7 linked regions of the Oryctolagus cuniculus genome follow. The protein of the gene in region 3 interacts with the protein of the main gene of each other region in a pairwise test. Links are inferred from orthologs where the notes say so. Each region holds a gene or a part of one and is shown on either strand. Other genes may lie near its edges.

What was found.
Region 1: the proteins of RASSF1 (region 3) and MAP2K3 come close enough for resonance energy transfer, tested with the Homo sapiens proteins (2 studies listed by BioGRID). The link is inferred for Oryctolagus cuniculus from reciprocal best matches to the Homo sapiens genes RASSF1 and MAP2K3.
Region 2: the proteins of RASSF1 (region 3) and STK3 interact in binary tests that used the Homo sapiens proteins (3 or more experiments, as listed by UniProt). The link is inferred for Oryctolagus cuniculus from reciprocal best matches to the Homo sapiens genes RASSF1 and STK3.
Region 4: the proteins of RASSF1 (region 3) and AKT1 interact in a protein complementation assay, tested with the Homo sapiens proteins (2 studies listed by BioGRID and IntAct, with this or other methods). The link is inferred for Oryctolagus cuniculus from reciprocal best matches to the Homo sapiens genes RASSF1 and AKT1.
Region 5: the proteins of RASSF1 (region 3) and STK4 interact in binary tests that used the Homo sapiens proteins (3 or more experiments, as listed by UniProt). The link is inferred for Oryctolagus cuniculus from reciprocal best matches to the Homo sapiens genes RASSF1 and STK4.
Region 6: the proteins of RASSF1 (region 3) and LATS2 come close enough for resonance energy transfer, tested with the Homo sapiens proteins (2 studies listed by BioGRID). The link is inferred for Oryctolagus cuniculus from reciprocal best matches to the Homo sapiens genes RASSF1 and LATS2.
Region 7: the proteins of RASSF1 (region 3) and SUV39H2 interact in a two-hybrid assay, tested with the Homo sapiens proteins (2 studies listed by BioGRID and IntAct). The link is inferred for Oryctolagus cuniculus from reciprocal best matches to the Homo sapiens genes RASSF1 and SUV39H2.

Annotation. Positions count from the first base shown.
Region 1 is NC_091448.1:65,853,500-65,856,999, reverse strand, and holds part of MAP2K3 (dual specificity mitogen-activated protein kinase kinase 3), read left to right. Parts: intron 1-279; coding exon 280-407; intron 408-705; coding exon 706-783; intron 784-2,581; coding exon 2,582-2,721; intron 2,722-2,840; coding exon 2,841-2,886; intron 2,887-3,305; coding exon 3,306-3,389; 3' UTR 3,390-3,500. UniProt on the Homo sapiens protein: Dual specificity kinase. Is activated by cytokines and environmental stress in vivo. Catalyzes the concomitant phosphorylation of a threonine and a tyrosine residue in the MAP kinase p38.
Region 2 is NC_091437.1:124,350,155-124,354,421, forward strand, and holds the start of STK3 (serine/threonine-protein kinase 3), read right to left. Parts: upstream 2,801-4,267; 5' UTR 2,541-2,800; coding exon 2,515-2,540; intron 1-2,514. UniProt on the Homo sapiens protein: Stress-activated, pro-apoptotic kinase which, following caspase-cleavage, enters the nucleus and induces chromatin condensation followed by internucleosomal DNA fragmentation.
Region 3 is NC_091441.1:98,984,783-98,988,282, reverse strand, and holds part of RASSF1 (ras association domain-containing protein 1), read right to left. Parts: intron 3,312-3,500; exon of another isoform or gene 3,294-3,311; coding exon of another isoform or gene 3,108-3,293; intron 2,227-3,107; coding exon 2,122-2,226; intron 1,981-2,121; coding exon 1,683-1,980; intron 243-1,682; coding exon 127-242; intron 1-126. UniProt on the Homo sapiens protein: Potential tumor suppressor. Required for death receptor-dependent apoptosis. Mediates activation of STK3/MST2 and STK4/MST1 during Fas-induced apoptosis by preventing their dephosphorylation.
Region 4 is NC_091451.1:46,976,398-46,979,897, forward strand, and holds part of AKT1 (RAC-alpha serine/threonine-protein kinase), read right to left. Parts: intron 1,367-3,500; coding exon 1,238-1,366; intron 1-1,237. UniProt on the Homo sapiens protein: AKT1 is one of 3 closely related serine/threonine-protein kinases (AKT1, AKT2 and AKT3) called the AKT kinase, and which regulate many processes including metabolism, proliferation, cell survival, growth and angiogenesis.
Region 5 is NC_091442.1:14,101,282-14,104,781, forward strand, and holds part of STK4 (serine/threonine-protein kinase 4), read right to left. Parts: intron 2,132-3,500; coding exon 1,973-2,131; 3' UTR 1-1,972. UniProt on the Homo sapiens protein: Stress-activated, pro-apoptotic kinase which, following caspase-cleavage, enters the nucleus and induces chromatin condensation followed by internucleosomal DNA fragmentation.
Region 6 is NC_091440.1:91,902,692-91,906,191, forward strand, and holds part of LATS2 (serine/threonine-protein kinase LATS2), read right to left. Parts: intron 948-3,500; coding exon 453-947; 3' UTR 1-452. UniProt on the Homo sapiens protein: Negative regulator of YAP1 in the Hippo signaling pathway that plays a pivotal role in organ size control and tumor suppression by restricting proliferation and promoting apoptosis.
Region 7 is NC_091444.1:41,036,862-41,040,982, reverse strand, and holds the start of SUV39H2 (histone-lysine N-methyltransferase SUV39H2), read left to right. Parts: upstream 1-1,321; 5' UTR 1,322-1,444; coding exon 1,445-1,475; intron 1,476-1,561; exon of another isoform or gene 1,562-2,106; intron 2,107-2,180; exon of another isoform or gene 2,181-2,762; intron 2,763-3,175; exon of another isoform or gene 3,176-3,247; intron 3,248-4,019; coding exon 4,020-4,121. UniProt on the Homo sapiens protein: Histone methyltransferase that specifically trimethylates 'Lys-9' of histone H3 using monomethylated H3 'Lys-9' as substrate.

The sequences.
Region 1 (3,500 bases), on a different chromosome or scaffold from region 3:
GGGGATCAGTGTCGCATTCATTGGCCCGCCTCATGGCCTCATCAGCAGGCCATGACTCAGGGAGGAGAGCCCCTGGGACCGCCCAGTGCCCACCCCGTCCCCGCCCCTGCCCCAGAGAGACTTGGCTCCCGCTAACCCTGGCTGTGTGACCGTGGGCTGACAGCACCTGCCTCAGCCTCATCCAGTCCTCGGGGGAAGGGGGGACGGGGGGAGGCGGGGCAGGGGGTGGGCACAGCGTCTCCCTTGGTCAGGGCTGAGTATGGCGCGCCCACCCCGCAGACGTGAAGCCGTCCAACGTCCTCATCAACAAAGAGGGCCACGTAAAGATGTGTGACTTCGGCATCAGCGGCTACCTGGTGGACTCCGTGGCCAAGACCATGGATGCCGGTTGCAAACCCTACATGGCTGTGAGTGCCCTCAGGGAGCCAGGGGCCTGGGGGCGGGGCCTTCCATGGATGTGTATCTCCGCACCCGGAATGGTCCCTGGGCATCAGCGGGGTGGGGGTGGGGGTCTCCCCTGGGCAGATGCGTGCGGTTTCTGCGGGGCCCAGCTCCGTAACCCCCATGTCAGGAAGGTGAGGGGCCGTGAGGTCAGGACTGGGCCTGGCCGTTGTGGGCCTGTTTCCCCCTTTTTGTGGGTGTCGGGTGGTGAGGCAGGGCACAGCCTGGAGGGGGCGCTTACACCTTGCCCTGTCCCCCCTGCAGCCTGAGAGGATCAACCCGGAGCTGAACCAGAAGGGCTACAACGTCAAGTCCGACGTCTGGAGTCTCGGCATCACCATGGTAACGCGTGTGTGTGCGTGGGGGGCGGGGCTGGCTGGGGTGGGGGTGGAGCTTCAGACCTGGGGCGGAGACGCACCTTGCGGAGTTCCCACCTGTTAGGGGCCACCACATGCCACCGCATCCCTTCCTGTAGTGGGTGTTCTCTCTGCTCATGAGGAAGCCCAGCCAGCGTCAAATCCAGCGAGCCCCAGGCAGGCCAGTCATCCGCACGCAAAATCAGTCCTGGCCGGTGGGCTGGAGACACCCCCGGCTTGAACGACAGGGAGGCTGGGCTGGGGTGGACGCACCCGCGGCCCTGGTGCAGGGATGGGCCCTCGCCCCATACCTGTCAGAGCTCAGGGAGGGGTGGGGTCAGGTGTGTTTAATTGTGTCTGGCTCCTATTCCGGCCTCTGTTATAGAAAGCCCAGTGGGGGTGGGAGGGAGGGGATGATGGGCTGGGCACGTGAGGGGTCTAGGAGCCGGCCCCACCCCTCCACGAAGCCCAGCGGGAGGTGTCCTGGAATCCAAGGCTTCCCTGTTCACCCTGGGCCAGGGAAATCCTTGCCTGCCTGCCCTGGGCCCTGTGGCAGTGGGTGAGGGGCACGTGTGTGTGTGTGTGTGTGTGTGTGTCTGTCTGTCCTGGGCGATCCCCTGGGACTGACATCAACGACCTGGAGTTGGTGCAGACTCCACGGAGCTAACGGCTCAGTCCCACGAGACTGACTCCAGCCGCTTCTTCCTCCGGGGCTGCCAACGGAGCAGCTAGGACTCGGGGGCTCCCAGGCCCGCCCCTGGCTTGAGAACCTGCCACCAGCTGGGGTGACGGCTGGCCTGGGCTGGGCTCTCTGGTGTAGTTTAGTTCTTTGCCTCATGGGTTACGAAAGTAATAGAACCTGATTTAAATACAGAGAATAGTAGGTGCCCCCCTACTTTTTGAGCTCTTTAGAAGGAATTCCCAGAAAAGCATTTCTGCCTTTCTAAGTATCACCCCCCACCCCTACTGGGCCCTTGGTACAGATTGGAATCAGGGAAAAGAGGATACTGTGTGGCCACGCCCCTACCCACCACAGTGCAACTCCGCCCCTCCGTGGGCGTGGCCACGTCTGGGCTGCTCCGTGCTGGCCAACAGCGGGCCGGCCTTTCGTGTTAGCCTGGATCGTCTCCGCTCCTCAACATGGCCTGCTGGCCGGGCCATGCATTGGACCCACGGATTCTGCGCTGTTGCAGGCAGGGGGCCTGGGCTGGCTCTAACAGCCAAAACCCGAACCCAGGGTTCCCTGTAAGCCAGCCTGGCCCTTCCACAAAAGTCCTGCCGCCAACAGGGGTTGGGGGCCCAGCAGGTGGAAGGAACGGTCAACCCAGCGTCGCTCAAGAGGAGGCAGACTCTGGGGGAGGCTGGGCCAGCCCCAGGAGGTTGGAGTGACCACCAAGAGGGATGGGCTCCCTGGAGGCGGTGCCTGGCAAAGCGCCCCTATCGGGTCAGGTTCCCCCTGCAGCCAGAGGCCCGGTGTGAGAGCCACCTGTGACCTGCTGCCTTCCAGGGGCAGGGCCCAAGGCTGCCAGCTCCTCCCACAGTTCCAGCGCGGCTGGGCCCCGGATTAGGTACAGTCTTTCTGAACGCAGGCCGTTAGCAAAGCTGGTGCCTGCCACACCAGTCCCCAGGCTGCCGCGTTGCACTGGGACAGGCAGCGTTGCAGCCCCTCGGCCTGCCCTGGCTCCCGGCACCGGGCCGGGCCGGGCTGGACAGATCCTGCCGACCCCTTGGCTTCTGGCGCAGGGTGCGGGTGCGTCCTGCTGACTCCCGCGTCCCCACTGCAGATCGAGATGGCCATCCTGCGATTCCCTTACGAGTCCTGGGGCACCCCATTCCAGCAGCTGAAGCAGGTGGTGGAGGAGCCGTCCCCCCAGCTCCCGGCCGACCGCTTCTCCCCCGAGTTTGTGGACTTCACCGCGCAGTGGTGAGTCTGGCCCTGCTGAACCCCTGAGCGCCCCTCAGTAGACAAACCCCAGATCTCCCCCCTGGCCCTCAAAACACGCACAGCCTCAGCCTGGCCTCAGCCTCTTTCTTCTCCCACAGCCTGAGAAAGAACCCCGCCGAACGCATGAGCTACCTGGAGTTGATGGTAAGTGCAGGCAGGTGGGCTGGGGGGGCAGTGTCCTGGGGAGGCCGCACCCCTCCACGTGCAGACAGGCAGCTCCCGTGTTTACTCATTTTGGAGTACTCGGTCATCCCTGGCTCCCTCCACCACACCAGGCCCTGTGGGACAGGGGGATAAGCAGTGGCATCAGGGAAGGCTGCATGGAGGAGGTGGCCTTTGAGACTGGGAGGAGGGGGCGTTCCAAGCAGAGGGTGCAGCGTGTCAGGGGGAAGAAGGCGTTTGGTTCTTGTGGCCAGACGGCTGTGGAGGAGCCATGAAACCTATCTCTGGCAGTCATGGAGGGCTTCCCTGGGCAGGGGTGGCGGTGGTCCCAGCAGGGAAGTTAGGAGTTTGTCTGCAGGAAGAACCCACGTGGTGACATTGCCTCCTGCTGTCACTTGCAGGAGCACCCTTTCTTCACCTTGCACAAAACCAAGAAGCCAGACATCGCTGCCTTCGTGCAGGAGATCCTGGGAGAGGACTCATAGGGGCCAAGCTGGGGCCCCGCCCACAGCCATAAGCTACTGCCCTCCTGGCCCTGGGCATCCAGGACGAAGCCAGGGGCTGCTCCTGCCTGGCTGTGTGAGGAACTGTCGGTC
Region 2 (4,267 bases), on a different chromosome or scaffold from region 3:
GGAGACCCGGAAGAAGATCTTGCCTCCTGGTTTCTGCCTGGCTTAGTCCCAGCCATTGTGGCCATTTGGAGAGTGAACCAGCAGATGGAAGATCTCTCTGTATCTTCCTTTCTCTCTGTAACTTTGTCTTTCAAATAAATAAAAATAAATCTTTAAAAAATAAAAAAGAGGCCGGTGCCATGGCTCACTTGGCTAATCCTCCGCCTGTGGCACCGGCATCCCATATGAGCGCTGGGTTCTAGTCCCGGCTGTTCCTCTTCCAGGCCAGCTCTCTGCTGTGGCCAGGGAGGGCACTGGTGCCCGCACCCGCCTGGGAGACAAGGCGGAAGCACCTGGCTCCTGGCTTCGGATCAGCACAGCGTTGGCCGTAGCGGCCATTTAGAGAGTGAACCAACAGAAGGAAGACCTTTCTCTGTCTCTCTCTAACTCTGTCAAATAAAAAAAATTTTTCAAAAAATAAAAATAAAAAAGAACATACTAATATACTAAGAAATGGAGCCAGGATTACTATTTCTAACAATCACTAAATAAAAGAACGTATATATAGTCATGAACCTCATGTCTATGACAGATCACATATGAAGATGGTCCCAAAAGATGACATCACCTAGCCATATATCATCCATCACAGCTGTCTCAGTTTAATTAAGTATACTGTATGGTGTTCGCATGACTGTGTAATTGCCTGGTGACACATATCTCAGAACTATCCTTGTCATTAAGCAATGCTTGACTGTATAAATTTCCTAGTGAATATTATGATCTCAAAAATAGTAGCTATATTTTATTACTAGAAGGCAATGATCAAGGGAGTAACACAAATATACACTGTAATTCCTGCATAGCCTTCTTCCCCTGTGGAAACTCTCTCAATGTCCTCATCTATAAACCAGGATTAATGCCTCTAATCCAAATTCTCCACAGGGTTGGTGTGAGGATTAAATATTATGGATAGGAAAACGCCATGAAAAAATCTTGAGATATTTAAATATAAAGGATTCATTTCACGCATCTTTTGCTCTTCAGAAATGCCTTCCTGTATCAAAATAAGTCTCTCTGAAAAGAGCTAAAAATAAGTCTGCTAATGTGCAACCACCACTTTGAAAAGTATAAATCACCATGGCACCACCACCCACACCTCCCCCAGACTCTTCCAGATTGTCTAGTGTCTCTGCAAGGCCACAGATTCTCTTACACCTATAATGCAACCGGCAGAACTGACAGCAGAAATAATCAACAGACAGAGCCGATGCTTCCATTCAAACTCTTTCAAGTTGGCCTCTGGCATGATCTCAGAGGTGTCCCACTTACAGTCCTCCCAACACAGGAAAGAAAAAGGGCCCAATTCTCTCTGTAGTAGCAAAGGGAGTGCCCAGTGAGTACTAGAATACAGACACCCTAGAAAATTCTAGAAAATAATTTATCCGTTACCTTGGGCTCTCCTAGCTGATAGCCCTTTTGAAAAATCCCTCTAGGACACACCCATCCCCATCCCCACCCCCTGCACAGATGGTTTCCAGGCCACACAGGTCTCTAGTCTCACAACTCTCAACAGCTCCCAAAGCTCCCACCTTTTTAATTATTCCACCTTTCATCTAAAGATCTCTAGGCATCAAAGCACATGAACTCTTTAATCGACACAACAGCTCTCCCCAGGAGAGAGAGAAGTGCCCTTATTTTTTATAAATTAAAAAAAAAAAAAAAAAACAAGACTGAGGTTAAATGTGTTATCCAACGTCAATAAGCTGATTCGCTCTTAAGGTGAAAACGCACATTATGAACCTGCATCAATGAATAACCTTGATTTAGCTTCCTAAGATCACTGCAAATACTTAACACATCTACTCTGTACACATACATTGCTAATCTATCAAAGAGCAAATAACGATGAATACCATACCAAAGCATCACTATTTATACATGCAAAAGTCGATGGAGGAGGGTTCTAAGATTTCTACTGTCTTGCCTCCACAAATACTTCTGAACTTGAGGGGGAGGAGGAGGAACACCTGTCAGTGCGGCATACTCACAGTAAGTTTTACAAACTCTGTGGCTATTAATATTTAATTCCTTAACTGTAAATAAACAACCCGCCTTTTCCCAAAAAGGATGGGGGGGGGACAATATTATGAAAAATACTTTGACAAGAGAGCCTACGTGGTTGTAAATAATTGTACATAATTTCCTAGTTTTAGGGCTTCCAGGCTGCGTGAACTCGCCACGAGGGGAAAACCCTGCCCGGCCCCGGAGGTCAGGCCCGGGGGAGCCTGGCGCTGCCCACCCAACTCCCCACGCGCGCCAGGCCCTGCCGGCCCGGGGCGGGCTCCCACTCCCCTCAGGCCCAGTCGCCCCGCGGACAGATGGCGCCGGGCACTCGGACCTGCCTCCCGACCCTCGGCGCGCCAGGCTCGGGTCCCGGCAAGGCGGAGAGAGGGTCGCGGTAGAGCCCGGCCTAGCCGCCTCCGCCCTGCGGCCGCCGCTCCCCTCGGGCTGCCCGCTCCTAGTGCTCGTTACCTCTTGGGCGCCGGCGGCTGCTCCATGGCGGCCGGGGGCAGAAACAGGGACCCGATGGACCGCGAAGGCCAGAGGCAGGAATGGAGCCGGGGTGCCGGCAGACCGAGCCCCAGGGAACCACAGAGAAAAACTCCGGGAACTCGGACCAACTTTCCCGTAACTCCACGGCGGATCTCCCTCCCGCTCCGGAGCGCGGCTCCTCCCGGCCCGCCCCGCCCCTCGGCCGCCGGCAGCGGCCCTGAGACGGCGGGTAGAGCCCAGCGCCCTGGGTGGGCGGAGCCGGCCGCGGCCAGGCGGGGGTGGGCGGAGCCTGGCCCTGCGCTGGGTGGGCGTGGCCGGCCGCGGCTCAGCTCAGGGTGGGTGGGCGGAGCCAGGCGCCTTGGAGGTGGGGAGGAGGTGGAGACGAGGGCGGAGGAAGGGGCGGGCCGTTGCCTCGGAGAGGGAAAGACGGAGGTGGTAGTGGGCGAGCACCCGGATGAGGCCTTCGCGGGATCCCGGAGCCGGCCTAGGCAGGTGCGGGGCGCGTCCCTTTGAGCGGGGCCAGAGCTGCACCCCTCCTGCCTTTTCTGCACTTGCCCGCATCTGATTGGACTCATTTCTCTGGATTCCCAAGGGTGCATCCCAAAGGCCTTTGAAGTATTACTAACTGCCCACGCTTCCTTCTCTAGTTTTGTTTATAATTACTGGTTATGTTTTTTCCCAGCCATTTGACATTTGTAGCTTCAGTACTAAGGATACTTCTGGAAATTCTGGTTTGATTTTGACTGTGCGCCTCGCTACATTTCACAATAATTACGTCTAATTACAGAGAAAATAATTGCTGTAGTGAGAGCTCTCCCGGCACCAAGGTTCGGTGCACCGGGGTATTGCTCTCTGGCCGGATGGATAAGCTGGCAAGCTTATCACAACTTCTGGTGCCTAGAAAAGAAAGTGGCTTTCCTTCTTCTGGCCTTTCCCCCAAACCTGCTCCCAGCAGAGCTCACCCTATTGTAATTTGACGCCCTCATTCATCCATATTGTGTGTGTTGATTAAATTCGTGCATATGATTTTTCTAATGAGCACATACAGCCACGACATTACGAATTTGCTAGTTTTCGTTAGAAGTCGCCAAGATGTACAGTTGTACGGGGCTTTTTTGGTGGTTAGAACAATGAAAAAAGTGTTGAATAATATGAATATTAACCTAAATTGATCTTGTCTATTAGCAGTCTAGACAAGCTTAGTCTTCTTTTTGCATTATTTTAAGTTTCATTGTAATAAGCTTACTTTTTTTTTTTGTTTTTTTTTTTTTTGAGAGACAGAGATAGAAAGCGCCCGTCCCTGGTTCATTCCCCAAATGCCTACAACAGCTGGGGCTAGGCTGGTCGGATTTGTTTTTAAACCATTATATGCTCCCCTAATTTTGTTATTTTACATTCACAAAGATCTTGTATTATTGAAACAAAGTCAAATTCTGTGAAGAGAGATTAAACATTTTATGCATTTTTGCATTTATTAAAGATCCACAGTCTGCTCAGAAATAACAAGAAGAAGAACAACAATACACTAAATCACTAAGACGTTAAAACTGGAAAGAGCCTTTGAAATGAGCCCATTCTGGTGCTAGCGTTATGGCATAGCAGGTTAAGCCTCCCCTGGACATCAACATCAGCATCCCAAATGGGCGCCAGTTTGAGCCCAAGCTATTCCACTTCCAATCCTCCTCCCTGCTAACGCACCTGGGAAAGCAGCAGGAGATGACCCAAGTGCTTG
Region 3 (3,500 bases):
CTTGGGCTTGCCCTAGACCTTGGCCTGACAGGCCTGGAAGCCCTTCCTTTCGTTGCCCTGGGGAGGCTGTACAGGGCTTGTCTCTGTTCATTAAAAGCAGGAAACTGAGCAGGACTGGGTACTCACGTTCACCTCCCCGGAGTCATTTTCCTTCAGGATGAAGCTCAAGTCCTTCTCATTCGGTCCTGCCAGGAGCCGAAGCTGCAGGGGCTGTTCGTCATCCGCCAGCTTCCGGAAGTAGACTGCAGCCCAGGCCGGGGGAAAGAGGTGTGAGATCAGAGGTCCTGCTGCCTCCACTCCCGCAGGCACAGGGGCAGGCACAGGGGCAGGCACAGCCTAGAGGTCTTTAAAAAGCTCATGAAAAGACTGCTTCATTGGGACTGGTGCTGGGGCATCCCACATGGGTGCCGGTTCAAGTCCAGCTGCTCCACTTCCAATCCAGCTCTCTGCTGTGGCCTGGGAAAGCAGAAGAGAAACTCCCGGCTTCGGTTCGGCACAGATCTGGCCAACTGGGGAGTGAACCAGTGGATGAAGACTCTCTCTGCCTCTCCTCCTCTTTGTGTAACTTTCCAATAAATCTTTAAATCAAATCAAATAAAAAAAGTGGTTTTTGTTTGTTTGTTTGTTTTTTGTTTTTTTACAACAAAGTCTTCCAGCCGCTGGCTTACTCCCCAGATGGCCGCAACAGCCGGAGCTATGCCAAACCGAAGCCATGAGCTGCTTCCAGGTCTCCCACACGGATGCAGGGGCCTGAGGACTTGGGCCACCTTCTGCTGCTTTCCCAGGCCATAGCAGAGAGCTGGATCAGAAGCGGAGCAGGCCAGGGCGTTAACCCACTGCGCCAGCCCTGAGTTACCTTTTGAAAATACACAATGTGGGGGCCGGTGCTGTGGCGTAGCAGGTAAAGCTGCTGCCTGCAGTGCTGGCATCCCATATGGGCACCAGTTCAAGTCCCAGCTGCTCCCTTCCACTCCAGCTCTCTGCTGTGGCCTGGGAAAGCAGTGGAAGATGGCCCAAGTCCTTGGGCCCCGGCACCCATGTGGGAGACCTGGAAGAAGTTCCTGGCTTCAGATTGGCCACAACAGCTGGCCAACTGGGGTGTGAACTCTTCACTCTGCCTCTCAAATAATCAATTTTAAAAAAAAAATACATAGAGTGGTGCCTCAAGAAGCCCTCTTTTAGGGCCGGCGCCACAGCTCACTAGGCTAATCCTCCGCCTGCGGCGCCGGCACACCGGGTTCTAGTCCCGGTCAGGGTGCCGGATTCTGTCCCAGTTGCCCCTCTTCCAGGCCTGCTCTCTGCTCTGGCCAGGGAGTGCAATGGAGGATGACCCAAGTGCTTGGGCCCTGCACCCGCATGGGAGACCAGGAGAAGCACCTGGCTCCTGTCATCGGATCAGTGTGGTGCGCCAGCCGCAGCGGCCATTGGAGGGTGAACCAACAGCAAAGGAAGACCTTTCTATCATCCACTCTGTAAAAAAAAAAAAAAAAAAGCCCTCTTTTAAGCCTAGAGGGATTCGTTTTCCACTGTTTCTAATCACTAATGCCTCGATAAATTCGCTTTTTCTAAACTATACCTGGACTTCAAATCTCTTGTGTACCAACATAAGCCAAGCTTCTAATTCCCTTTTCCACAGACCTCCTGAAGCATCCTCACGGGGTGTGTGTCGGGGGGAAACACACCTTGGCCATGACGCTCGGCTCGCTCAAAGAGGGCGAACTTGCGGGGGTCGTCCACCACCAGGAACTTGCGGAGCAGGGCCTCGATGACCTCCCGGGCCCGGGTGTGAGACAGCACGTGTAGGTGCTTGACGGCGTCCTTGGGCAGGTAGAAGGAGGTGTGGCGCTTCACGGCTGTGCCCCGTGCTGGGCCCCGGCGAGCATCCTGCAAGGACGGGGGCTTCTTGCTGGAGGGCACGGACACGGGCCGGGCCAGTTTCAGCTGGACCTTGATGAAGCCGGTGTAGGAGCCATCCTTGTTCTAGAGAGAAACAAACTCAACCATGACCTAGCTGCCGGGAGACACGGAACACCCTAGGGCTAGGCTGGGTGTTGCCAAAGTGGCTGTCTGAGCCTACCACGGCTGCCCCTCCGCAGACCCCCGCCAGAGCACTGCACTCACCAGGCTCATGAAGAGGTTGCTGTTGATCTGGCCGTTGTACTCCTTGATCTTCTGCTCAACCTCAGCCTGAGAAAGATCAGGCTTCTCCCACTCCACGTGCTCGTCCTAAACAAACAGGCCAGGGGCAGGTGTTTGGTCTAGGGGCTAACATGCCAACTGCCCCCACCCGAGTGCCTGGATGCAAATCCAGGCTCTGTTCCCGATTTCAGATTCTTGCTAATGCAGACTCTGGGAGGCCGCAAGTGATGGCTCAAATACTTGGCTCCCTGACACCCATGTGGGAGACCTGCTTTGAGTTCTTGTCTCCTGACTTCAGCCTGGTCCATAGAGTGGGGAGTGAAATCAACAGATGAGGGATCTCTGTTTCTTAAATAAAAGTCAAACGGGCTGGTGCTGCGGCGTAGTGGGTAAAGCTGCCACCTGCAGTGCCGGCATCCCATATGGGTGCCAGTTCGAGTCTCGGCTGCCCCACTTCCAATCCAGCTCTCTGCTATGGCCTGGGAAGGCGGTGAAGATGGCCCAGGTCCTTGGGCCCCTGTACCCATGTGGGGAGACCCATAAGAGGCTCCCGGCTCCGGACTGGCGCGGCTCCAGCTACTGTGGCCAGCTGGGGAATGAACCAGCGGACGGAAGAGCTCGCTCTCTGTGCCTCTCCTTCTCTGACTTTCAAATAAATCACTCCTACAAAAAAAAAAAAAAAAGTCAAAAAGATGAGCACCATGGACACAGGACCCTTGAATACATGGCTTCTCTGAAAAATGCTCTTGGAAATTGACTTCCTGATGTACACAGATGCCCAGAATCAGCCATCCTGGCTGGCGCAGTGGCAAAGTAGGTTAAGCCTCCACCTGCAGCACCAGCATCCATATGGGTGCAGGTTTGAGTCCTGGCTGCTCCACTTTAAATCCTGAACTTGTCACTGTTTTTTTTTGACAGGCAGAGTGGACAGTTGGTTCACCCTCCAGTGGCTGCCGCAGCCGGCTCACCACGCTGATCCGAAGGCAGGAGCCAGGTGCTTCTCCTGGTTTCCCATGGGGTGCAGGGCCCAAGCACTTGGGCCGTCCTCCACTGCACTCCCTGGCCACGGCAGAGAGCAGGCCTGGAAGAGGGGCAACCGGGACAGAATCCGGCACCCTGACCGGGACTAGAACCCGGTGTGCCGGCACTGCCATGGCGCCGGCCACTCGTCACTGTTAAAAAAAAAAAAACTTTTAAAGATTTTATTTCATAGGCAGAGTTAGAGAGGTAGAGACAGACAGAAAGGTCTTCCATCCAACCAGTTCACTCCCCAGATAGCCGAAATGGCCAGAGCTGTGCCGCTCCAAAGCCAGGAACCAGGAGCTTCTTGCAGGTCTGCCACACAGTGCAGGGGCCCAAGC
Region 4 (3,500 bases), on a different chromosome or scaffold from region 3:
CGCCTGGAACACGCACACCTACAGTACACGCCCCTGGAACACGCACACCTACAGTACACACGCCTAGAACATGCACATCTACAGTACACGCGCCTGGAACACGCACACCTACAGTACACGCCCCTGGAACACGCACGCCTGCCACACGTGTGCCTGTAGCACGCACGCCCACAGCCGGGGAGCGTGTGCATTCCAGCACCAGCACCCTGGCAACCACGAGGGCCAGGTCTGCCGGGCGAGGGGCTGCGTGGGGGCCCGGGGCCCAGCCTGGTGGGAGGCGGCCTGTGTCTGTGCGGGCAGGAAGCTCACTCGGTCCTCCCACAAGGCAGAGCCCCTGGACACAGGCCCTCCGCACACACACGCTGGCTCTCGCCCTGGCCAGGCAGCGCCCCCTGCCCCCGGCTGGCGCTGCCCCCATGGGCTCCTCTGCAGAGGCCCCTCCTGCCTCACCCCCACAGCGGGCATAGCAAGGCTTCCAGGGAACTGGCCTGCGCCTCCTTGGTGGCCTCCGGCCCAGGAAGCTGGGCCTGAGGCCGGGGAGGGTGGCATTTGGGGCTCACGGGAATCCCCACGGCCAGGCCCCTCCTCTAGCACAGAGTGGGCCCCGGGAGGGATGACCCAGCAGCCAGTGCCGCAGCCCATCCCCACGCAGATGCCCACAGGCAGGGCGACGCCCAGGTCGAGCCACCTGTGCCAGACCTCCCTGCAGCCCCCAAACCAGAACCTGGGTGGCCCTTGAAGGCCAGGGGCCAGAGGACCCCAGGGTGCTGGCCAAGGAGAGGGAGGGGCAGAACCCAGAGGCCCACGGCTGGCAGGCCCATCGCCCCCAGCTGCCCCAGGCCAGCCCCAGGGCAGAGCTGGGCTGCCAGGTGGTAGAAAGTGGCAGTGGACCTGCCCGGCCCCAGCCAGCATCGTGGGAGGGACAACTGGGGAGCCAGGCAGGGGAAAAAGTGGCACTGGCCAGCTTTGAGGGTGCCCCCCACAGCTGGGAGGGGTTGTATGCAGGGTCCTAGGGCCAGCAGCCCTCCCCACCCAGGACCCCCCTGGGAGAGCCTGGAGGCTCCCTATAGCCCGAGCTGTCCCCTCTGGGCAGGAGGCTCAGGGAACAGCTCCACAGGACAGCCATGCAGCTTGGCCCAGGCCCCCGCCAGCCAGGGCTGGCCCCCAGTCCCACAGGGCACGGACCACTCCAGGCACCGCCCCACGTCCAACCCGGAGTGGCCGAGGGGACACTTACGTGCCACAGAGAAGTTGTTGAGTGGGGACTCGCGCTGCTCCACGTCCTGTGGCCGCTCCTTGTAGCCGATGAAGGTGCCATCAGTCTTGAGGAGGAAGTAGCGTGGCCGCCAGGTCTTGATGTACTCCCCTGTGAGGACACAGGCGGTGAGGGCCCCTGTCCAGGTCGCTGGCCAGCTACGCCAGGCAGAGGGTGGGGGACGGGAAGGCAGGCTCGCTGCGCCGGAAAGGGGCCAGGCCCACCTGCACACCTGGGACACGGGGAGGAGGCCTGGGCCCACCTACCTGGCCTTCCTGGAGGGGGAGGCAGTAGGTCAGCTGGTGCCCAGCTCAGGCACTGGCCGGGCACCCAGGCTCCAGGGTGTGGCTGCTGGCCTGAGCCGGCCTCCAGCCAAGAGGACAGAGCCTGGCACTGGCAAGGAAGGGCCAGCAGCACAGTCCTGGGGCCGAGGGCAGAGCTGCCGCCCACCCTGGGACAGCCCCTGGTCCAGGCGCGGGGGCCGACTCCCCCAGTACCGCGGCGCTCGGGGACACGGCAGATGCTCCGTGGAGCCGCGCTGCGCCATTTTTCACACTGACACCCGAGAAAACGCCTCATTTACATTTTGCCGAGCACAGAGTCTGAACGACAGGGAAGTTGCTAATTAGGCAGCTGCTTCACTGTGGGCTGAGAGCTGGGGACGACACAGGGACAGGCCACCCCCAGAGGAGCTCAGAGGACACGGGTCGGCAGGCGTCCCCTGGGCAAGGCACTCAGGGCAGTGGCCCTCCCTCCCCAGGTGCCCGGCAGCTGCCACTCTGCACCCTGGTCCTGGACACACTTGCAGATGGGACCCGGAAGCCCCGGGCTGGGCTGGGACCTGCACCCCAGCCACCCCCCTCACAGCCCAGGGCTCTAAGAGGCCCCCCCAAGCACCCCTGGGTGCTTACTGTGCCTGGACTGGGGTGGGCCTGATTCCAGCCAGCCCACCAGCAGGACCAGAGCAGTGGAGTAAGGCCACACCCCGATGCCCAGGGGGGCAGGCCAGCTAACAGGCCCCACCCCACAATGCAGGGGGCGGTCGCTCAGGTGCGGCGGGGGCTGCTTTGGGGGAAGGACAAGGTTCTGCCCCCTCATGAGGGTGCCCCCCACAGCTGGGAGGGGTTGTATGCAGGGTCCTGGGGCCAGCCGCCCTCCCCACCCAGGACCCCCCTGGGAGAGCCTGGAGGCAGCCCCCACCCCGCCCCGCCAGGCTGGGGCCACCGGGGCCTCTGGCAGGAGCAAAGGGCGACCCTCAGGGAAGAGGCTCCAGCCCACCACAGGCACCCCCTCTGGGCAGGTGGGGGCAGGCAGGGGCTCCAGGGGGCGAGCGGAGCGGGCTCTGGGGGCTGCACAGCCCCCCCGTCCCGGGCCGCCCGGCGCCGTGCCCACCCGCCTGCACGCCAGTCTGGAGCTGTCGGCCCCTGATGGAGTGCCTGCCATCCCACCAGCTGCCGCTCCCCAGGACGCTGAGCGAGCGGGGAGACTGATGAGCACCCGCGCGCGCCCCAGAAATCCATCTCGGTCCTGCGCCACACGGCACACACAGGGCCCCCACCCCCAGTGTCGGTGAGGGGGCTGCCCTCAGCACACAGACCCCTCCACGGGGGCCAGGAGCAGGCCGAGGGACACCTCTGCCTCTGCGTCCGGCCAGGCAGGCCCATGGGGACCCACAGTGCTCGCCGTGCCTGGGCTACAGCCCTCGTCTTAAGTTCAGCCAAAGCAACGTGGGACCTGAGACCCCCGGCCCCGCCAGGGTGGGGGCAGAGGCCACTGCACACCTGCAGACTGGCACCTGCCCACCCCGAGGTCCAGAGGGGCCTGGGCCTCTGGCAGGGAGCGACTGGCGCCCAGCGCAGGGTCTCCTCAGCGCCCCCCCCCCCCTTCAGACCTGTGGCGGTGCCAGGCTCCACCCAGGGCCTCTCCAGCAGGCTCAGCTGCCCTCTAGGCAGGTCCAGCCAGGCGCTGCCATCAGGAGGTGCAGATGCCCGGGTGGGACCCGCTCCCGCCCCACTGCTGGCCGGCCCACCTGCAGGACAGCCTGGAACCCAGCCCTGGGCTGGGAGCACAGTGGTGGCCCCTGAGGTGCTGCACGGAGCCCCAGGTCCTGTCCAGGCTCCAGGCCACCATGCCCGGGACAGGGAGAAGGGGATGGCTGCCCTTAGCAGGGTGACAGGGTTAGCTAGCTTCCTGCGACCCGGCCTGGGTCAGCTCTGGCCTCGGGGACACCACACAATGCTTGGGG
Region 5 (3,500 bases), on a different chromosome or scaffold from region 3:
ACGTCACATAAAGTTATGTAGTCACTTCATTTTAAACACACTTCTGATTTTCTTCTCCCTCATAAATAAGAGTATTAGACCTGGACAGTGAGTCTACCATCTCGTAGCTCTATTGCCGTGGGAAGACCCTTTCTCCCTAAGCCCATTCCTTCATCTATGAAACAGAGGTAAAACACTTAACTCAGGGGTGATTGTGAAGTTGAGAGCCTGCCCTGTCTGCCAAGAGCAGGTGGTCAGCAGATGCTGGCTGCCATTTATTATTCTAGCAACACAAACTGTCTTCTGTTTTGCATATCTGCCACACAGTTACTCCACTGACCAAGCCCTGAAGACCAACAACTGCTTCCTACATTTTTAAAAAGTTGCTTTAGTTGCCAAAAAAAACCCAAAAAACAAAACAAACAAACAAACAAAAAAACCAGAATCTGACCTACAGAAGAGGAACATTCTCTGGGTAGCAATCATGCAGTCAAATTAGTTTCCTCAGGTGTAACCCAGTCGTGGCTCCCCTAACTCAAGGGAGGAAGGAATATTAGAAGAAAATAAAAAGATACTTGTCTTTCCTAACTGTCTACTCTGCTGTGTGCCTCAACGTCATGGAGCCTTGAGCCAAAGCTGCAGGAGGCTGGCTCCATGCTCTCTTGCAAAGTCCTTGGTCTACCTCAGGCCTCAGTGTCCTCCACGAGTGCTTGGCCAGGCAAGATCAACTTTTTGTGAACGAGCTTCCTGGGATACCCTAACTTAGAACTGACACATGTCAAAGGGCTGCTTGGCTACGTGGCCCAGGAGGGGAGCTCCAAGTTCTAGTCTCATTCTTACTCTGGTTTGCCTCATGATTTTGACCATGTCACTTCCCTTCTCTAAGCCTCAGTTTTCTCATCTACACAACAAAGGACCAGACCACATGATCTCTATGGTCCCTCCCAGCTTAGGCCCTCTACATGTCTGTGTTGAGCTTCCTGGAAAAGAAATCTTAGTCTGGTATCCAAACACCTTAACGGTAAAAAAAAAAAAAAAAAAAGAGTCACATATGAATGTGAATCAGCAACAGCAATGCCCTCTACCCTGTCTACAAGCAATGCAGAGAAAAATGCCATGTGTGTGACTTTCACATGAACACACACGAAGAGCTTGGAAAACCTTTCCCTTTTGGAGGCTTAGCACAGCTGTAGGTTTGCTGTGAGTTCCTGGCAGGCCTGTCCCTCCGCTGGATCACGTCTCCTCGTAAGGCACTGGGAAGTATCTGTACTGTGACTCCAGGCAGTTTGGAGAGTGGAGATGGATGAGAGGTGTTGAAACAGGATGGGCAAAGAGGATGCCAGGCCGCTCCTGGGGTTCAAGAGCAAATACAAACTCTCAAAGCTTTCCCTGGGACATCACCAACAGCCCCAGAGGCCAGTGGCGACCATGCAAGCTGAAAACTACACAAAGCCTTATTTTTAAAAGTAGTCCTACAAAGGGTAAGGCTGGCTCCTGGGATTCAGTGACCGCTCTTGCAGCCCCCAGGGGTCCTCTGCCCCCTTGTTCCACAGTACCATAATCTTACAGAAAAGAGGCAACTGTTCAAAACTGTACCTGTACAGTGATGCCACCACACTGAGTGGGGAATCTATTTATAATTTATATATATATGTGCATATTTATATATCTTTCAAAAGTCTTCCAGAAAGAACAATCGAAAGCTATTGGGAGAAGAAAACAAAAAGATGATGTAAAACTTTCTCAGCTATCACTCCACTAGGAGTCTCTGTTCCTGGGATGTAAAACTCTGAGATAAAAGCGCCACCTTTTGAAATAACACAGCTGACCCACACAGATACACACAACAAGATGGCACGCTGACTGGCAAGGCAGCCCTTCCACTGGCGCACGTTCCTGAGTTCACAGAGGTGCTGTGGAAAAAAGAGAAGTGCTGGAGAACAAATGTGGAGGCGAGCGATCCGAGGGACCCACGGCCTGGTCCCAGCCTTGCTCAGAAGTTTTGCTGCCGCCTCTTCTTAGCCTCAATGGCATCCAGGATTGGCTGCCGCTTGGACTGGTACTTCTGTCGGATCTCTTCGATCTCCTGCTCCATCATGGGGTCCAGGGCCAAGAGCCTCTTCTGAAGGTCCTCCACTGTCCAACTCTTAAGCTACAAGAGAAGTGGAAAATCTGGTCACAACAAAGCCAGGCCAGCAGCAGGCTGGCAGAGAAGCCCCGCCTTCCCAGTGTCCAGAGTGAAAGGAGACAAGAGGGGGACACTGTGAGTGTGAGGTCATGGGGGTTGGACAGGGACAATTCAGCCCAATGAATGGCATATCATGAAGTTGTTCTGGGACAGTAGGTCCCTGTGAGAAAACTATGTACTGACCTCTGAATGTGCCCTGCCCATGAACCTAGTGAATAATACTTTCACTTCCTCTATCTTTTAAATAATACTTGTTAGGACATTAAAATAACAGTAACTTGCTGAATGCAACAGTGGTTGCCTCCTAATTCTTGTCCTTTCTATGAAGGACCTGTCTACACAGTGTCTGTCCCTCTTTCTGGTCCTCTGGGTGAGAGACACATCTAGACAGTGCCCTTTCCTGTTTCTGAACGCACAATGCTGAGCACTTCATGCTGACTGAGGATGGACACTCCCCACCCCTCAGTGTCTGGCACTGCTATCCTAGCATCGCTAACGCTGGGGGCTGCCCACAGTCCAAGCACCAGTCTAAGGACTTTACATGATCACTACATACGCCTCTTGGGAATATACACACAAACCTTGTTGTTGGGGTGTGGAAGAGAGGTGGCTGGAGAAGGCCTGAAGCTTCTTAGATTAAGTTGCTATCATTCACAAGAAAAAGGACTTGCTCTACAAATGAATAATAATAGCTAGCACTTACATAGTGTTTTCCATATGCCAGACACTAAGTGCCTTACATAAACTGATTCACATAACACTTGTAACGACTCTCCTATATGAGTACGTTATCATCTGTACACACGAGCCAAGGAGGAGGATGGCTCAGTAAGCTGCCAGTGTCTCCTACCTAGTAAGAGGCAGAGCCAAGATTCAAACCCAGGCAGTGTGGCTGCAGAGCCCACATTTTTAACCAGTCTTGTAGAGAACAGACCAGCAAAACACAGTCTTAGAACGGACTCACCCTATGATTAAAACATGGCTCTGCCCCCCTGAGGCTCTCCAGGCCCTCTGCATCTACAGAAATGAGACAGTGATGTCTGGTAAGAATTAAATGAGGGCTGATGCTGTGGTGCAGTGGGTTAAAGTCCCGGCCTGTAGTGCTGGCATCTCATGTGGGTGCCGGTCCACATCCTGGCTACTTCATTTCTGATCTAGCTCTCTACTATGGCCTGGGAAAGTAGCAGAGGATGGCCCAAGTCCTTGAGCCCCTGCACTCACATGGGAGACCTGGAGGAAGCTCCTGGCTCTTGGTTTTGTATCGGCTCAGCTCCAGCCATTCCGGCCATTTGGGGAGTGAACCAGAGGATGAAAGACCTCTCTCTCTGTCTTG
Region 6 (3,500 bases), on a different chromosome or scaffold from region 3:
CATCTGGGAAGAGTGTTGTCTTGTTAACTTTTTTACATTATTGCACAGACATTTCTTCTCACATGTTTTTCAGTTTTCATGTCTTTTCTTAAATGTGAATAAGTGCTACGGATAAAATACAAATGTAGAAAATAACAGCAGCATGATTTGTCAAAGTTAATCCCTATAATTTAGTAAGAAAAAATGGATATAAACAAAATAAGTGCTCTTTCTAAACTGTACTAAATGTTTAAAAATATTGTTTTGATGCAGTGTAGGTCCTCAAAAGCCAACTCAAAGTCACGTCGACCCACCCTGCCTGTCAAGCAGGACCGAGAGAGGCAGCTCGGCTGGACGTGGAGTCCCTTCAGCTTCCGCGTGGGGCGGTCACGGTGAAGAACAGTCTCGAGAGAAGTAGCCCACCTGGGCTGCTCCCCCCAGCGGCGGAGCGCCCTGAGGGCCCCGGTGCACGGCTACACATAGACCGGCTGGCAGCCCTCGGTCGGATCCACCAGATCGGAGTTTTCCAAATCTGAGTTCTCAGACTGCGAAGCTTCTGCTCCTGAGGGCTTGGGGCACCTAAAGGGGTAGCCATTGTCATCAAAGAACCTCCGGAAAGTGAACTCATAGAAGGCGTGCTCTGGGTGCTTGTTGCCGGGGGAGGCGAGCGTGTCCCAGGCCTTGGCACTCCCTTCGCTGGCCTCGTTCCACGGGCTTTCTTCATCTACGGGGTCAAAATTTGAGGTGTCCATGGGGTGGCTGATGGTGGGCACGTAGGGGGCCGGCTGCTTCCGGATGTCGCTGGAGAAGTCGATGGCGCTGAAGAAGGGGTGGGCCTTCAGGTCATCGGCCCCGTCCCTCCCCAGCCGGCAGTCTGCCGAGCAGCACAGCTTGGTGATGAGGTCCCTGGCCTCGGGGCTCAGCTTGACCTGGGCGGGAATGTGGAGCGTGTTCTCCCAGTTGATCACCTGGAGAGAGGGCAGAACACAAGTCAGCTTCCCGTCCCATGTCAGCGCCAGGCGGCCAGGGCTGCCACGCCACAGCCTGGGATGACCTGACGGCTTGCACCTCAGTGTACGAGGCAGTTCGAACAGACACAGAGGCAGCAGCTGACAACGGAGTGGACATCTTTTTAGAAGATTTTATTTATTTGAAAGGCAGAGTGACAGGGAGAGGAGAGAGATCATCTATCCTCTGGTTCACTCCCAAATGCCTGTGCCAGCTGAGGCTGGGCCAGGCAGAAGTCAGGAGAAGCAAGGAACTCCATCCAGGTCTCCCATCCAGGTGGCAGGGCCATCATCTGTTGCCTCTCAGGTGCATCAGCAGGAAGCTGGATCAGAAGCGGAGTAACTGTGATGCAAACCAGGCACTTTGATGTGGGATGTGGGCAGAAGCCCCTGGGCCACAATACCTGCCCCTGGTGGGGTTTTATTTAGTAGGTCCCTCCCAGTCAGCATCAAGGGACCACGCAACCAAACACACACTAAAGGATGCTCTACTGCTTAGCAACACAATTCTGTCTTCCAGAAAAATGAAGAGACTGATCCTCTGCGAGTCATTTCTTTAGCTATGGCAATGGGTTTCTGTTGAACCACTGTGACACACGTTCAATATTTATTATGGCCAAAAGATGGCCAACTGGGGTTTTGTTTTAAAAAAAGTAACCTAATAGAGGAAAGCTGACTGAGGGTCTGATGGTTATTGCCCTGGTTCATGTTCGTGATGCCCATCTGCATAAACCAGCCATCTGGCTGCTTGGTGAATTCATTCATCACAGATGTGTCCACTATGATGAAAAAAACAAGAGTCTTGATTGCCTATTCTTAGAATCAGGGTGAAACAAGGCCAGTGTAACTCAATTCTAGTTGGGGTGTCGGGACAGCAGGTAAGGCCTGGAAGTAGCTGGGTAGGTGGGTGGGAGGACTGGTTCGAACCTAGGTAGTTGTTTTAATAGAGCTAAAACTACAAGACTCAGAGGAAATCATAAAGGTAAATGCTGCCTGGTAACTGATCTGGGAATGACTTCTTAGATGACACCAAAAACAACAGACAATAAGAAAATATTCAAAGCTTTTGTTCATCAAAGAACATTATCAACCAGTGGAAAAGGTAACCAACCAATGAAACAAGAGCATATGTGTACAAAACATATATTAGAATCATTCAGAATATATAAAGAACACCTACAATTCCATAACAAAAAAATTCAACCTGATTAAAAAAGGGCAATGGACTTGAATAGCTATTCCTCCAAAGGAGATACACAAATGGCCAGTACATGAAAACACTCAATACTATTAATTGTTAGGTAAATATAAATGAAAATCACACTATGATACTACCTCACTCACTTAGGACGGCTAAAAAGAAAAAAAAAACCCAGGAAAATAATAAAAATTATCAAGGATAATAATAACTTTTGTTATCAAGGATACGGGTAAGGCGCAGCTCTGGCCGTTGCAGCCAATGGGGGAGTGAACCAGTGGATGGAAGACCTCTCTCTCTCTGCCTCTCCTCTTTCTGTGTAACTCTTTCAAATAAAAAATAAAATAAATCTTAAAAAAAAGGATATGGGTAAATTGGAACTCATGTGTACTGCAGGTGCACTATAAACTTGGTTTCTCAAAAAGCAAAATATAGAACAACCATATGCTTTAAGGTATATCTGGGGATATATCCAAAGGAAGTGAAAGCAAAGGAAGTGAAAACAGGAGCACAACAGCCACGAGGTGGAAACAACCTTGATGTCTAATGATGGATGAATGGATAAACAACCACGTTCTAAACACACAGTGGACCAAAATTCAGCCTTGAAAAGCAAGTTCTGATACATGCCACACAACACAGATGAGACTTGAAGTGAAACGAGCCGTCACAAAAGGACAAATACTGTATGACTCCACTTAAAGGAGGTACCTAAAATTGTCAAATGCATAGACAGAAAGTAGAATGGAGGTTCCATGAGGCTGGGGGAGGGAGAAGAAGTAACTAAATGGGTATAGAGTCTCTGGGATGATGACAACACTTAGAAAATAGTGGTGATCGCAGCACTACATGTGAATGTTCAAAAATGGCTAAAATGGTAATTTTATGATAGATATGTGTATTTTACCACAATAAAAAAATCTGGGTTATTATCATGCAGGCAAATTAGTGAGTGGTTCAGAAATTCAATTAGGATGTTGATAATATCTATTTCCAATTTTATTGCTTCTAGATGAAACAGCCTTAATTGAGGATTTTTCTAATTAAAAGGTTATTAATTTTAGGTTCTACTATGGACTTCAGGGATATGAAAACTTCCTAGAATTGTGTGTCCATGGGTAAATCCACTGCAGGCTGCAGACTCTCAAATAATTGCTCATTATAGACAGGAATGGCTCTAATTGTAAAACTAGTCAGTAACGCTGCCTCACACGACTATGCGGAACACACACATCCACTCTGCCTCCACAGCTGAAAATCCACCAACAGCGATGCTGATTCCAGACAAGGTGAGTTCTGCTTGCTCTTTGCCGGGC
Region 7 (4,121 bases), on a different chromosome or scaffold from region 3:
GCAGAGTTAGAGGGAATTACATCAGATTGTGCATTCCCCAAATATCAACAACGGGTCCTGGCTCTGGCCAGGATTCTGGAGTTTATCTGGGTCTCCCTTGAGGGTGCAGGGTCCAAGTACTTGGGCCATCTGCTGCTTTCCCCAGATGATTAGCAGGGAGCTATATCAGAAGTGGAGCAGCCAGGACTCAAACCAGAGCCCATATGGGATCCGGGGATGCAGATAAAGAGGCTAAACCTGCGGCTCTGCAACCCCGGTCTCTCCATGCAAAGATTTTACATTTTGTTGTCTTCCTATATAATTTTTCTTAGCTAATTTAAACTATTTTAGGAGGATTAAAAAAAACCACACTAAACACTTTCCTATGATAATAAAAGCTTCAAAAACATTTTTGGATGGCTACACGGTGTTTCATAATGGAATCAAATAATTAGCCATAGCTTTAATGGTCCGCGTTTATTTCCAGTATTTCAAATTTATACAAGATGGTTTAAACATTTGTCATTTTTAGAGCATAAATCTTTGTAAAAATCCTCGGTAGACGTCAAATAGCTACCCACCGAAGTTTTTGCCATTTGCACTTCTAAGGCTTCTGCTTTAGATTGTTCAAGCCATCACCACGGACAGGCTGCGAAGAATGCTGGGGGCAGGTGAGGGATAGAGACGTGTGGAGGCCCCTGGAGCAGCAGCTGCTGGCAGAGCAAGAGCCTGGAAGCCTGTGAAATGCAGACGCCCGGGACTCAACGCAGACCCACCAAATTCGAATCTGCACTTTAACAAGCGTCCCTAAAGCGCCGGCAGCACTGATGGCCGCACGTTGGAATCACCTGGGGAGCCCTCAGATGCCCACTGCCCGGGTCGGAACCTCTGCCCGAGGAGCAAACAATTCCTCTCCAAGAGATCCTACGTGGGGCCGATTTTGAGAGCCAGAGCGCGGGGGCGCGGATAGGAAACGAACTACGAGGAGGGCAAAGTTGGTTCGTTGGGCTCAGGTAATGAGGAACGGGAATTGGAGGAAGCGTCCCAAACAGAAACCCACGCGGCCCTTTCGGATAGTGTACCTAGCTCCTAGGTAACACGATTTCAAAGAAAGGCGTGGGAACGCCTGGAGGGCTTTCTCCTGAGCGCCGGCGCACGCGCTCCAGCAGAGGGAAGACTGCGGCTTACCTAGCTTAGGGCCGCGGTCCCCGCCCCTCCCGCCCCGCCCCTCTCCCCCTTCTCCGCCTCTCCCCTCCCGCGCGGCGGCCGGTGTGGGCCGTGGGCGCAGGCGCACTGCCGCCACGCTCGGGGTCAGCCTCCGGTGACGTCAGGACGCCTCACGGGTTCCAGCGCCGCCCCCCCCCCCGCCTGCCCCCGATTGCCGCGCGGGCCGGACAGGGGCGGGGCGTAGGGCCAGCTGAGCTATCCCGTCAGACCGCGCCAGTTTGAATGAAAGCTCCACAAGATGGCGGCGGCCGGGGCTGAGGCGCAAGGAGGTGAGGCTGGAGCGTTGCCCCCTCTTCCCTCTCCGTTCCCAGGCACGCTTCTGAGGCCTGGGAAGCGGGGCCGTCCCGCGGCCCAGCCAGGCGGCGACGTGGCGGGACTCCGCCTGCCGCCTCGCTGACACGCCGACCCCAGGATGCGCTCTGCGGGCGCCTGCCCCCTCCTCCTGGCCGCTGACCCTCCTGAGGGCCTGGCCCGCTCCTCTCGCGTTCTCCCTGCCCTCGCTGTGCGCTGGAGGTGGGCGCCCGCGCGAACCGCGGCCGCGCCGGGCTGTGTGGAGCGTCGCTTCCCGCCGCGCGCTCGGCCCGGCCCGGCCCCTCTGGGCTGCCCGCGGCTGCATCGGGCGTCGCGGTAACTTCGCTGTGGGCTCCCGGCTCGAGGGTTCGTGGGCACGGCTGCGATGACTCCTTTGTGGTCTTGTGAGCCGGCCTTGTGGTGTTCGCTTGGGCGTTTGGGAAGCGGGAGAGAGAGAACCCGCAGGTGTAAACGAGACCCTGGTATCACAACAGCGAGGGAGAGGAATTGGGGTTGAAGTGGGGTCAGAAAGGGAGCGAGTGAGGCGCAGCCGAGAGCGGACACGTAAGAAGGTCTAATTGCTCCTCAGTGAGATCTCGCAGAGACTAGGTGTGTGAAGATGCAGCCTCTGGCTGGCGCTAACTTTTCTTCCCCCTCCCCCCGGGAACTTGGCGTTATTTATATGGACCTCGAAGACTCACACTGAGCACGCGCGCGCGCGTTTGTGCGCGTGTTCGTTTGTGTGCGCGCGCTTTGAAAGCCTGGAATTTTCAAATGCATTCTGGAATTTATAGGTTCTTTCCTGCTCTGCTCTGCTCCACATAGATTATCTCCTCACTATCCCAGAACTTTTCTTCCTTTAAGAATGGCGATGGATAGCGTGAGCTACTGGAAGGTTTTGATAGTGGTGTTGAAATAGTTAATATTGTCGATGTACTTTTTCTCTGTTACTATAGGCTGTCGGATTTTTTTTTTAACCAAGTGTTTTTAGCTTTTTTATATTCTAGTTTGTTTCTTCTCCATCGGTGGTGGTGTTTTAGATCCTCAACTAGATAAGAATGGTTCGGAACAGCCCACCACACATACCTTAGGTAGATAGATATCCAGGAGGCACCTCCTTGGCACCGGATCAGCTAATGAGGTTCACTTTGCACAGAACAACCTCAAGGTTTTTGGATGGAAGGAACTTAAAGGAATTAGTATTTTTCTACCCTCTACCACCACTCCCGGTCAACTTTTTCCCCAGCCTCAGTTTTCTGGGAGAAGTACGTTTTCCTTCCTTGATTTAGAACTAGGAGTCCTTGGCAGGGGGGCAGTGGTGGAAATTGTGCTTAAGGGTTTCTGACATTGAAGACCCTGTGTGAGTTGGGGGTGAGGGGATGAGGAAAGAATGTAGTAAAGTTAAAGCAGCTGTACTCTCACTTCCTGCAAATTTCCTCAAAACACAAAAGGTTATGGCCACTACCTTGGAGAGCTACCACATATGGCTTGAGTTTACTGATTCTATTTGGCAACCCAGTTTTTTTCAGTGAATCTGATCCCAGAAAGATTGCAAACCATGTAAGCTAGAGCAGACGATTCTTGATCCATCTAGTGCTTACAATGACACTAGCCATAAAAGCAAGTTTATTACATTTTTCTAAACATCACTTTGTGTTGATTTGTATTGTAAATTCAGCACGACAGCCTGACTACAGGAATTTGGAAGTAAAATCTTATGCAACATAAATAGTTTCCTGGCTTCTCTAAGGTAGATTAAATCCAATTTTCTTCAAATTGGGTATGTGGATTCTGTAAATTGAACACTGTATAACTCCTGGCTTTAAAAACAATACAGGAAATTAGTATTACCAAAAAAGTCAATATACACTGAATTTTTAGAATTATAGCACTTGGGTTGATAATACATTACAGCGTGGGCAAAATATTAAGTGGAGTTAAATTTCATGCAGGATTTCAAAGTGGAAAAATTAGGGCAAATAATGCCTTTGTAATTTAGAACTATGTTTTAACTAGGTCTCTGTTCTAATTATCCAGTTAAAAGAAATGAAAAAAGTTACTTTTTAAGAAATTAAAGATTGTGTTTTAAAATATATTATAGATGTACTTCTAAACAATAAGAATGCCCTGGAGATCTACATTGTATGACAATAATTGTATTCTATGTAGAATAAAATGGAAAAGTAAAAAACATCACCTCTGTTGACCTTGGCATCTGTATGTTATCTTAAGAAAAAGTTATAGGCATGGGATGTTTTGTTCAAGTGACTTAGTAGAAATTAATGTCAATTGAACATAGCAGGATAAAAATTCATGAGAAAAGTCCAAGACCAATTATCAAAAATAGTTCTTTAATACTTCATCTTGAAGACACATCATTGTTTTCTTGTCATATGAATTTTTAGTTGTGTAAAATTTCCAGTTGAAGGGTGGGGATATAGAAGTTTTAAGATTATCTTTTTTTTTTTTGTTCTAATTGAATAGCTGTTTCATTAGTAAAGAATTCTATTTTCTTATTGTAGCTTGGTGTGTGCCTTGCCTAGTTTCACTTGATACTCTTCAGGAATTATGTAGAAAAGAAAAACTCACATGTAAATCGATTGGAATCACCAAAAGGAATCTAA